Linked DNA regions of Coturnix japonica. The protein of the gene in region 2 interacts with the protein of the main gene of each other region in a pairwise test. Links are inferred from orthologs where the notes say so. Each region holds a gene or a part of one and is shown on either strand. Other genes may lie near its edges.

What was found.
Region 1: the proteins of SH3GL2 (region 2) and ATXN2 interact in binary tests that used the Homo sapiens proteins (3 or more experiments, as listed by UniProt). The link is inferred for Coturnix japonica from reciprocal best matches to the Homo sapiens genes SH3GL2 and ATXN2.
Region 3: the proteins of SH3GL2 (region 2) and EGFL6 interact in a two-hybrid assay, tested with the Homo sapiens proteins (2 studies listed by BioGRID and IntAct). The link is inferred for Coturnix japonica from reciprocal best matches to the Homo sapiens genes SH3GL2 and EGFL6.

What each region holds. Positions count from the first base shown.
Region 1 is NC_029530.1:5,325,835-5,329,486, reverse strand, and holds part of ATXN2 (ataxin-2), read left to right. Parts: intron 1-705; coding exon 706-797; intron 798-3,223; coding exon 3,224-3,421; intron 3,422-3,652. UniProt on the Homo sapiens protein: Involved in EGFR trafficking, acting as negative regulator of endocytic EGFR internalization at the plasma membrane.
Region 2 is NC_029547.1:29,706,907-29,711,162, forward strand, and holds the start of SH3GL2 (endophilin-A1), read left to right. Parts: upstream 1-1,403; 5' UTR 1,404-1,549; coding exon 1,550-1,594; intron 1,595-4,256. UniProt on the Homo sapiens protein: Implicated in synaptic vesicle endocytosis. May recruit other proteins to membranes with high curvature. Required for BDNF-dependent dendrite outgrowth.
Region 3 is NC_029516.1:110,857,784-110,861,435, forward strand, and holds part of EGFL6 (epidermal growth factor-like protein 6), read right to left. Parts: intron 2,073-3,652; coding exon 1,743-2,072; intron 1-1,742.

The DNA.
Region 1 (3,652 bases), on a different chromosome or scaffold from region 2:
AGTATGTTCTTAAATTGAGCTTCTTTGTATATCATAGCAGTTAGCTTTCACTCAACCATGCATTCTTCTTAGCAAGGTATTTGCTGCAGTGTGTTAAAGGCAAGAATGGAGTCAAGTTATGGTGGGGAATCTTAACTTTGTCTTGGTGGAACAGTTCCCCTGTCAGTTTTGGTGTATGTACTGTACAGCTGAGATTTGTTGGAGTACTTAATACTGTCAGTGCTTTCATGAAACTTTCAAAGCATTTGTGAAGGCTAAAGCCTTGAGTGCTGTAATAACATACTTCATAAAGTTGGGAAGTTGCCCTGATCACCAGGGGTCTTCTGCCTGCAGCATGTATCTCAGATAATAATGCTTTTGGGAAGTATCAGTGCTTGTCATAGCAAGGGCCGCTCCTAACGTTCAGAATTGTGTAGTGCTTGTTAGCCATTAACTAGTCCAGTATGGGCATGGTGCTTTAAAAAACAGAAACCAACCAACCACACAACAAAAAAGAAACCAACGTGGCTTTTCAGGATAAAGTACATACATCTGATGAACAAAGACCCCTGAAATAAACTGTGGCTCTGCTAGCTTTCTGATATAAACAGTGAGTTTGTAAGCCAAGGCAAAAGAGCAAAAGGTTTGACTCCTATTACCAGCCCTTGGCTTTAAGGGAATGTGTTTCCAATGACATCTTGAAAAACACGCATCATTTTCTTCTAGTCTAACGGATGGGATCCCAACGACATGTTTCGTTACAATGAAGAAAATTATGGTGTAATATCAACATATGACAGCAGTTTATCTTCTTATACGTAAGTTCCAAAATATTTTCTTATTAGATTTGTATTTAATGTTGTCCCTGGTGTGACAAAATTCGTATTCTCAAGATAAGTTTATATACTTTCTAAGGTTGTGGAATCAAATAACTGAAAAAAAAAAAAAAAGATAATAATGGATGAATTGTGCTTAAGAAACCTTGCCAGATTTCTGTGAATAGTTTGTGTAGCAATCTGTATATATTCCCTTAAATGGGCACAGTTCATTCCCATTGCAACATTTTCTGAATTTAGGCGTGCAATAATGCTTAATTCTTAGAAAAACTTTTACAAGTAGAGTGAAAAATACAAACTGTGAAACTATAATGTCTCTTTATGTAGCTGCCATATGTGTAGTTTGTGTTTAACCCAGCAGAACAGTCTGATTAAATCCTAATTTTATTGTGATTATTCATAATGTAGGTATTGGAGTATTGAAACGCTGCTGATATTTCAAGGGGGTTTGTACTGTGGATAACTTGTTTAACAGGCTTGTGCAGACCTGAAGTTTTAGTTACAATATAACAACAACTTGAGTATAGAAGAAGAAGTATGAAGTCTGCTGTGCTTACTTTGGCAGCCTGGACTCATTCCCAGTAGTCTGCAGCTATAGTGTTCGTGCAGCTACAACACAAACTGGTTGCAGATGTTGAACAGCCATCGTGAAATGTCTTTATTTTCCCACTCATTTTACCCACAAAGTTTAAAACTTGGTTGTGAATGTTCAGGAATTGCAGTGATTATTTTAATTTTCTTTTTTCTTTTTTTTTTGTCTGCACATCCCTTGTTCAACATTTTCTTTCTATTGCCACGTTATAGATGTATTTTAACAAAAGCTTAATTGGCTTATGTCTGCATCCTAGGGAAGCTATTCCTAGAGCAGTGAAGTATTCCAAAGTACTCTTTGTACTTCTGAACTTTAGTCTGTGATCTTTCTGTTTTATGGGTATAAATGAACACAAATTAAGAACATGAAGGTGGCTTTAAATTGCTGAAGACAAATTCCATTATTTGCTAGTCAAGGAACTTGCTTTGCATTTTGTTGCTTTAGCTGGGACACTTTATTCTGATTTTCCAAGCATATGATGAGCAGTGGTCCAGCTAAATGCTTACCTGTGCACTTGAGGGGGATTGTACAGGGTTTACTGTTCATTTTATCTTCCCAGAGCTAAGCATTAGCAGGTATAGTTTGTCAGTTTGCATAAGGGCACAAGCTTTGTCCTAGCAAGTGCACTCCTTGGCTGTGTTGATGGCTGCTGTGCTCACACGTATCTTATTTGTGAGCCAGAGCTTTGTGCAGGAGGCCATGCTTTCTCTTTCATCCTCTCAGTCACCATTGATAATGGCAGCAGCTGGCCAAAACTGTGTGTGAGGAGGGGAGACTTTTGCTGTAGTAGCAGAGCTACATGGTACAATTTGGCAAAGCCATTTGCTTTCATAGCCCTGCCACCAATACTTGAGTAATCTTGCATATATTATTTCTTTCTTGGGCTGTCTTTCCAACTACATCCTTTGTTATTTGTTTGTATTATCCCAAATGTGTGCAGTACTGATTATCTAATACCAAAGATTGCATTGTCAGAGTCTCATCTCTACATAGCTTATTCTAAAGTAAAGTCAATGAAGAAAGTTATTTCATAAAACCTGACACAAAAATTAGAACAGGTGAAAAACAGCAATGACAGATGGACAGGAGGAAGTGTCAGCTCAGTTGTGTTGTCCTTCTGTAGTTCATTATTTTAGTAATTCATTGCTCGTGTATCGAGTGGCTTTCCCAAAAGGGTTACGTTTGCTTGCTGCAGTGTGGTATTACCTAATATCATAATACATAGAATGAATGGTTTTGAGGTTCCAGGACATGGCAATTGAGTCTTGGGTTTCTGGTCTAAAGTACTGCATTCATCTTTTCTGCAGTTACTATCACTGGAAGAACTGAAATTCCGTGACTGGAATTATCAGAGGATTAAGTTTGTAACTCTTAACTTCAGTAGTGCTGGGGACTCTTACATCTATTGTGAATGTGTAAATTGCTAAAGAAATTCAAATTTGGTCTCTTGAATTACCTTCCTATCTAAATAATGGGCTAAGGCCTTTTTGTTGCTAATGTGCTCAACCCTGTTAAAAGTTGAAGACTTTGCATAGCTTTAGGGACTGGGGAGTCTGCCAGTCATATGGTAAAGCTGTGCATCCTGACCTCGGTTCTCTAGGCAGGTAAATGGCACTGGTACATAATGTCAAACCAGTGCAGGAATATTGCTAATATAGCAAATAAACTGTCTTAAAAGCATTTTTTTTGTGTGTGTTTTCTTTCTTTTTTTCTTATTTTTAATTTGACCCGTCTAGAATTAATTCTATATAATTTTGTATGTTCTTTGTACTTTTGAATTCATTTCAGATGTTCTTTTTCTTCCATTGTTTTTCAGGGTGCCATTAGAAAGAGATAATTCAGAAGAGTTTTTGAAACGGGAAGCCAGAGCAACTCAATTAGCAGAGGAAATTGAATCAAGTGCCCAATACAAAGCTCGGGTTGCCTTGGAAAATGATGAAAGAAGTGAAGAAGAAAAATATACTGCTGTTCAGAGAAATGCTAATGAGCGAGAAGGTCATGGTGTGAACACTAGGTACTTGCATACACTGTGAATAGTATTTTTATTTAAATGATGTACATATTTTGTTACAGTAGCAATTTACTCATTGAAACTGTGCTTTTTCAGTGGGGCTGATTAGGTTAGGAATCTTGTGTAAACAGTCACTTGCTGGTTTTGGCACTCGTGCTGACTTGTACACCTCTGCTTGGCCCTGTATTATCTGTAATGAAACAGACTTGTCCATTCTGATATTTCACTGTGGTG
Region 2 (4,256 bases):
ATATAGTCTGAATTTTGGATGTGCGTGGAGCCAGGAGTTGGACTTGATGATCCTTGTGGGTCCCTTCCAGCTTGGGATCTTCTATGATTCCATGACTAGCACAAGAAACTTCCTTCCACTCCATATCATCTCAGTGTTCATCCTCTAAGCTAATACTAAAACTAAAATGAATGGATGTGTTCTGATGTTGGTGCAGGACTAGATCGGAAACAAATGCCTCCTACTGTGCCCACGAGGAAGCCATTATGCTCTTCCAGTCTGCTCCCCACAAGCAGAGAGATGTTCTTTGCCACTCTCCATGCTGAGCAACGCTGGTGATACTTCTGAAAGCACCAATGTGATTTGCATTCACAGTCCTTTCTCCTGCTGCAGTCCCTTTCAGAACTGTGCTTCAAAGTTGGGTGCTGTGATGTCACCACTGACCCATACTTGATGATCTTCGAGGTCTTTTCCAACCTGGGTAATTCTATGATTCTATACCTCATGGTATGAGGTGATATGTGGGCCCTCACAGTGCCTGTTTTCTTTAAGTGCACCAAGCATGTGTGCTACACCACAGTAAGTCCACATGCAGATTAAAAACAGCTCCAGGTATCTCTCAGAATGTTTCCATCCCATCTCCTGTGATCTGTGCTACCTAGCTGCTGTGGGATGTTAGTGGGGATGGATCTGCCAGCGCAGCATGGCTGCTTTCAGCAGATGCAAGCTTTCATCCCAGCTGCGCTGAGATGCAGCACACATCCACAGCGACTGGCCCAGCCTGCAGAGAAGAGCTGTTACATTTGGGTCACACTGCTTGCATTGTTTAGGCTTTTCCTGGCAGAGCCTCATAATTACTGCTAATTACTGTTCTGCTAGTGTTTATAGCACATCTGACCAAATTGCTAAAGCACACATTATTGACATTTATTTGGGTTTGAGGCTCTTTACCTTCAAGCCAACAGCCACACCAGTGTGCCAGCAGTGGGGCAGGCTGTATGTTTGGCTGCCCGTGTGTCACTGGCATTGCAAGGGGAGAAGAACACACATACTGAGGGCCAACAAGGAGGCAGAGCTGGCATCATCCCACTGAGACCAGCTAGGCCTGAAGAAACGGCATGCCGACACCCGCATCCCCCGGCCCCAGGTCTATCTGTCCATCACTGCCCACCGTCCCAGTCGAGGCGGGTTGAACGGCGTCCCCGTGGGGCTGCACGGGATGAGGTCCACACTGCTCAGGAGGGACCGTCGGCAGTGGCCCTTAGGATGCCGGCGGGGTCCCGCAGCGCCGCCTCCGCCCGCGCCAAGGCTGCTCTCGTTCAGCGCCGCCGGGGCCGGGGGCGAGGCGGGGGCGGCCCGGGGCTGCGCGGGGAGGCGGTGCGGCCAGCCCTGACGTCAGGGCCCCCCCGCAGCGCGGCCGCCGCCTGACACCTCCCATCGCCGGGCGTGCGGGGCTGCGAGCAGCGGGCAGCGGCAGCAGCAGCTCCTCGGCGGCGGGACCAGCCCCATCGCTCCTCGGCGCCGCTCGGTTCCGCTCGGCTCCTCTCGTCTGCATCGCACCGCCCTCGCCATGTCGGTGGCCGGGCTCAAGAAGCAGTTCCATAAAGCGACCCAGGTACCGCCTCGGTCCCCCCCGCGCCGCTGGGGCCGTGCGCGGGTGCGTGGAGCGCGGCAGCGTGGCGCAGTCCGATGCGCGGCGCTGGACTCAGTCCGGCTGCCCAGCCCGCATCCGATTGCACGGGCGCTCGTGGGCTGCGCGTGTGCATGGGTGCGCGTGGTGTGAGTGTGCACGGGTGCGTGCGTGCACGGGTGTGCGTGGTGTGTGTGTGTGCGCGGTGCGTGAGAATACACGGGCATGAATGAGAGCACCGCAGGCTGCTCCGCCGCCCCAGCCGCACCGGGTGCCGGTCTCGCAGGGACTGACTGGCGCAGCGGCTGCTGGGGCAGGTGCCCGCGTGGGCGTCGGACCCGTTCTGCGGTCTGTGCACTGGTTCTCCATCAGAACGGTTTTAGGTTGGCTTTCTGAATCAGACCTTTTAAATTATTTTTAAACCCCCCCCCCAACTACCCTCCCTTCACCACCCCCCAACCCACTTAGGTTACAGACAAAATCTGAATAATGAGATTTGGTCGTGTTGCTTTAGGCATGGTGTGTTATTGCAAGGAGGTCAGGGTGGGTGTTTCACCCGGCTGCGATTTGTTTCATAATGCAGAGTCTGTATGTTGTAGTCTGTAAGGGTACAGTTCCTGAATTGGGCTCAGACTTGGTGTGTTCTGGGGATGAATCCAAAATGGTTTTGTAGAAGCCTGGGAAATTTATCTGAATTTACAGACTGTAGTCCAAGTCTTGCGTGAAGCTCCATTATTTTCTTTGCAAGTGAGCACAGAACTCCTGGTAATTTTCACTGACTGTCATTACATCTTCAGGTAGCAGTGTATGTTGCTGTAAGCAGCCCCTAGGTGCAGACTTGCAGATACAGCAGCCATTAGGCTTTTCAACACCTACGCTTTTTCCTTTCTCATCCATCTCTTCTCTTTCATCTCATCTGTTGCTGCAATGTGGAGAGATGCACCTAAAGGAATGAACCCTTACACAAGAATTAGTCCCAACTTTAGTTCTTGCTGTCTTTGCAATTATACCATACCCATTCTGACTAGAAATGCGGTGGGATGTGCCAAGTCCTCCACAGGCCCGTGCAGGAGCAGGGTGACATTGTGTCTCACCTTTCATAACAAATTACATTGCATCATTGGTAAAACAGACTTCACAGAAACCTGCTGTTCTCATGACAGATGCAGTAAGGAGTTTTTAAGTGTGCCTGAGCCCATACTGTAGTGTCCATCTGCTGCTGCTACTTCATTTTATCACTCTCTGCTACCTATATCAAGCCCAGAAATCATCACTGCTATTTGAGTTCTCACACTGATAAGTAAGAATTGCAGGATCTGTGTCATCCAGAGTTAAGAAATAGGCAATCTGAAGTTTACTTTCTAGTAGCGTGCCTCAGTTCACCATTATTGTAAGTTAATGAATGTGCCTCTGCAGCAGCAGGGTGCACATCCCTTTTAGAGGGAGAATGGTCTGTGAGTGCTGTTCTGTCCTTCAGATGACATGCTCACATGGACTGTCAGCAGTATTGCCATGTAGAAGGAAAGAAAAGTTTTAGCTGGCTGGAGCCAAAATAGTATATTGCTGATGCCAGATTTAGCAGCCTGCTATCAAATGACCCAGGGATTTTTGGGCCCAGCCGTGACTTTCACAGACTGTTTGTATGCAGGGCATGAAGACACATTCATGTATGAGAATGACTCACAAGTAGGTTGCAAGACAGATCTGTTTATTGGCTTGTTTTAAGCATGAGTGAGAAATCCAGGCCTTGGTTGTGCTGTCCTTACCCCTGGGAGAATCCTTCTGATAATGGATTGATCCCCAGGCAGAGTATGGATAGGCATTGCCACTGTGAATGGAGATTCCCAGATGGGATGAAACAAACTGGAAGTTTTAAAGACTCTGAATCTTTCCCATCATTCTTAGACATGTAAGAACTTGTGTATGATGCACAGTTGTACTGCAGTCCTAAGTCACACCTGTAACAATTTCAAGTTATTTCTGATGCTCCTTTTAATTCAGTAAAGCATTTGGAAGTCTTTGGCTTAGTTTCTTTCATCCTTTTATGTTGTAAAATTAGTAGTCCTTTTACACACGAGTGCATTGTGAGTATACAATGTTATTATTACAGAATACTCTTTCAGTTGTGAAAGATTTGTCTCACTATTTAAATGTTAAAAAAATGCTATTTCGGCAATAAGTCCCTGGCAGAAATTGAAATAGTATGACTCCTATGTCTAGATTGTTTAATTGCTAAGCAAGTGTTTTGATTTTATATATATATATATAAATACATATTTGACTTGTGAAAGGTCAGGCTCACCTGCATTAAATAATGCCACTTCACAACAGAAATCATATTGAAGACCTTAATGTCTGTCAAATTCCTTGCACTAACTGCTTCAGGAGTACATCATTGGGAAGCAGGTGGTAGCTTTGCTCCATATGGAGTGAATGGCATATTCACCCCATTTGGATTTTAGACAAAAAAAAACATGGATGGTTTTACCTCTGTGAAACATCATAAAGTTTAGAACAAATATTCCTGAGTTTGTGAAAACAAAAGTGAGTCTGTAATCATAAAATTCCTTCAAAATTACAAGAAATGAGGCTGACAAATGTTGAAGTACAGAACAGGCTACATTACACATTTATGTGTATTACCCAC
Region 3 (3,652 bases), on a different chromosome or scaffold from region 2:
ACAGAACTCTCTTATGTATTATTTTGACTTTAATTACGCTGTGGACAACGGATTTTCCTGATATGTCTTCAGTCACATTGGCAACTTGGAAATGAATCCGTTCCACACAGTGTGGCAGCGAGTATTCAAAAAATACTTAGAAAAAAATACCAAACCATACTCAGGTTCTCAAAGTCTGGTAATTTTTTCAGGACTTTCCAAGTATGTAATATCTGAGTTGCTTCCCTCAGCCCACCAATCCATCTATCACAGAAAGGCAGAAAGAGATACGAGGGCTGACTTGATGATATTTTCATCAGGTTGCTTTGCCTGAGGAAGTGAAATAGCCCACATTCCTTTATGGCACCGAGTACTGAATAAAAGTATCAGTAACTTACAACAATATTATTTATTCGTATTGAGTTAATTTAGTTAAGATCCAGGCTTTATTGCTTCTTTTGAGACAATGGAGGTAAGACATCTAATTCTTTTGTCTGAACCTCTCACATGCATTTGGCAGTACCAGTATGATGAGGCTGGTCCAAGAGTAGATTGCTACCCAGTGAAAAATTCAGCTCCAACTTGACTTCATCTTCTGCCCCTGCTACCTTTTTTGGGGACATTATTTATGAAGGGATCTTCAGAAGCTGGATAGAAAGCTGCATAAACTTGCCAAGAGTGGAAGGATGGGTAAGGAGGTAGGGTGTATGTGGTGTGGCTGGCCAGAGCAAGAGTGGTGCCCTGGATATAGGATCATCAGATTTGGAGTCATGGCACCATCAGCCAGAAACCTTTCATAAGACATCAAGACTGAGTACAGCCTGGAGGTTAGAATGCAGATCTCATCACACTAGATAGCACTGTTTTTGGTACTACACTGCAATGCAATGTTGAAAGAACAGAAAAAAATCATAGAATTATAATTGCTGAACTGCTAATCAGGAGATTGCCTGAGGCCTATCTATCAAATTATAAGTATTTTTGAGGATACATATTTCACCTGTATTCCTGCATCAAATTTTGGCCAGCTTTGTGGTTTACAAAATACTCTTCTTATATCATACAAAGAATATCATACAAGATAGCAATTAAAAGGAAACATGAAATCCAACTGAGAAAATATATGTCAATCTTCCTGATAAGAGGCTAATGTCAGATATTAAGAGAGATACATAGGATGCATGCTCAAATACCATCAAAGAAAGAGAGTGCCCATTCAGATAACCTCTCTCATCTAAACAAAAGAGATAAAAACCCTCTGTGATTCACAACATTATTTTTCTGATGGAATGACACAAAAAAAAATAGTGACACCTATTGTATGTTTTGTATCATTTGAAACACAAAGACACTGAAGTGAATGTTTTTCCTATGAACAATACACACTATTTGAGTGATAAATATGTCTATCACAAATCAAAGCTAGTTCTTGTTTTAAGCATAACGAAACAGCAAAATATCCTGTTTTGTTGGAGCTTCTGTGAAGAAAATGGGGAAAAAGCTATATGTAAGCTGCCGTGAAAGAACAGGTGGCAGAATAGAGTGCCTGCCAGGATGACACACTCTCTTCTGTAAACATTGACTGCAGACAGTTTCCTCTAAAAGGCAGATTCACTAGCTCTAATCCCACAGTAGGTATACTAGATTGATATTCAGTTCCTACAAGTAAATTAGGATAGAACAGCTATAATGTCTGGTGACTGTTTTGTTCATGTTTATATATATACTTAAACTGAAACTAGCATAAACACTGAGAAACTTACAGAAGACATCTCCTCTAAGGCTTTGCTCATGGTCAATCTGATTCTCATAATCTTCCTTCTCTTCCTCACTTGTCTCATCAACTTCCTCTTCTATGGTAACTTCAGTTTTTTTCTCTCCCACAGTGTAACTCCCACCAAGATCAAAACCGCCTTCGTAGTCCAATGACTGCAAGTGGGTCTTAGAAGCTGGTGTCATGGCTGCTTCTGGGATCACATTCTTGATTGCTTTATGCTTTGTCACACTGCTTTTATGTGCAATAAGTTTCTTAATCGTGTCCTTAGCTGTTCCGGGGATTCTTGGAATTTCCTTCACTGATTTTTCAGGGACAGCTAGAAACCAGAAGAAAATAGTAAATATTCACCTAATGAATCATTCAGCAAACATGTTTATAAATGCCCTTGATAATACCCAGAGACTCATACACCTAAATTCTCTACCATGAGACATAAGTTCACCTCTGTACTGTACTATGTATGCTTTTACCTCTGCTGTACAGACAGCTTTCTGGTTTAGAACTGTAGAAGGACAAAATGGTATGGGTTGTAAAAAAGCTTTAAAGACCATTTAATTCTAGCTCCTTTGATACATTAGACTGGGTTACTCAACTCGGCCTTGAGTGCCTCCAGGAATGGGGCATCCGCAGCTTCCCTGGGCAGCTGTGCCATCACCTCACCACTCTCCTAGTAAAGAATTTACTGTGAGTTATAGTGAAAACACAAAATTGACCCTCTCTTACAACCTCAGCTGGCCTCATGTGTAACATAGGCCACACAGCTGCTTATATTCAACATTTATATACAAGAGATCGGAGGGAAAAAATAACTTCCGTCATTTTGTGGACTACTAAAAATTGTCCACAATGTGACTCCCTACAAAACAAATGTCATCCTACTAGCAGTGAGAATTTTCCTTAGACATCTTTTGTGAACTCTGTCCTAACATCCCTTTTACTGCAGGCTGAAAAACACTGAAATAAAGCATATTTTGAGGTGAGATATATCAAGCCAATACATCACATCTCATTTAGTTCTAAAGGATAAAACACTAAAACTTCAGAGAGGTACCCAAGAATTCCAAAATATTATCTTGAAATTGCAACTTGGACTAGAACATAAATACACAATTTCCTAAGATTTTTACTATTTTATGATTCCTTTTGACTGACAAATACTAAAACGATATCTAGCCTTGTGGTAGCTTGCAACTTCTGATCCTGCTCAGAAACACATAGGTCAGAACTGAAAAACTTCGAGTGGAGTAAAAGTCAACCAAGATTGTTCAAATCTGTAAAATAAAAGACATAAATCTGAATGTGTGGGTTTTCCCCATTTTTTGATCCATAATAGAGCATAATGAAGTCAAATATTGTCTACAACCAGACAGAAAACTTCAGAACACTTAGCGATAAGAGGACATTTTTCTATTTACTTAGCAGCCATGATTTTCACATTATGCTTTTTTTCTTAATATATTGTGTCTCAAGACAAAAGCCTTTTGTTTCTTTTCAAATTCAATTATTCTCTCCACAGTCATCAAACTATGTTGGGATGCTTGAATGAGGGACTATTTTTAATAGAACCCCATTTGAAGATACAATTCCATTGATGCAGGGAGGCAGAATTGATTTTCCAGCACCAATGAAACCCAGAAGCAGTGCAAAGGGCTCCTTTTGGGTGGTCCCGTGTGGAGCCAGGAGATCAACTCAATGATCATCATGGGTCTCTTCCAGCTTGGGATAGTCTATGATTCACTGTTACTTTTTTCTGTATGTTTCTTTTCACATAAGTAAAGAGAAAAGAAGAAAACCACCACTTAATGAAACAAAGCTGTAGTCTAGTAGGAAAAGAGGAAAAATCCCAGAACTGATATGAATTGCCGGATAATATAACCCTAATCAAAGTGAATTGGT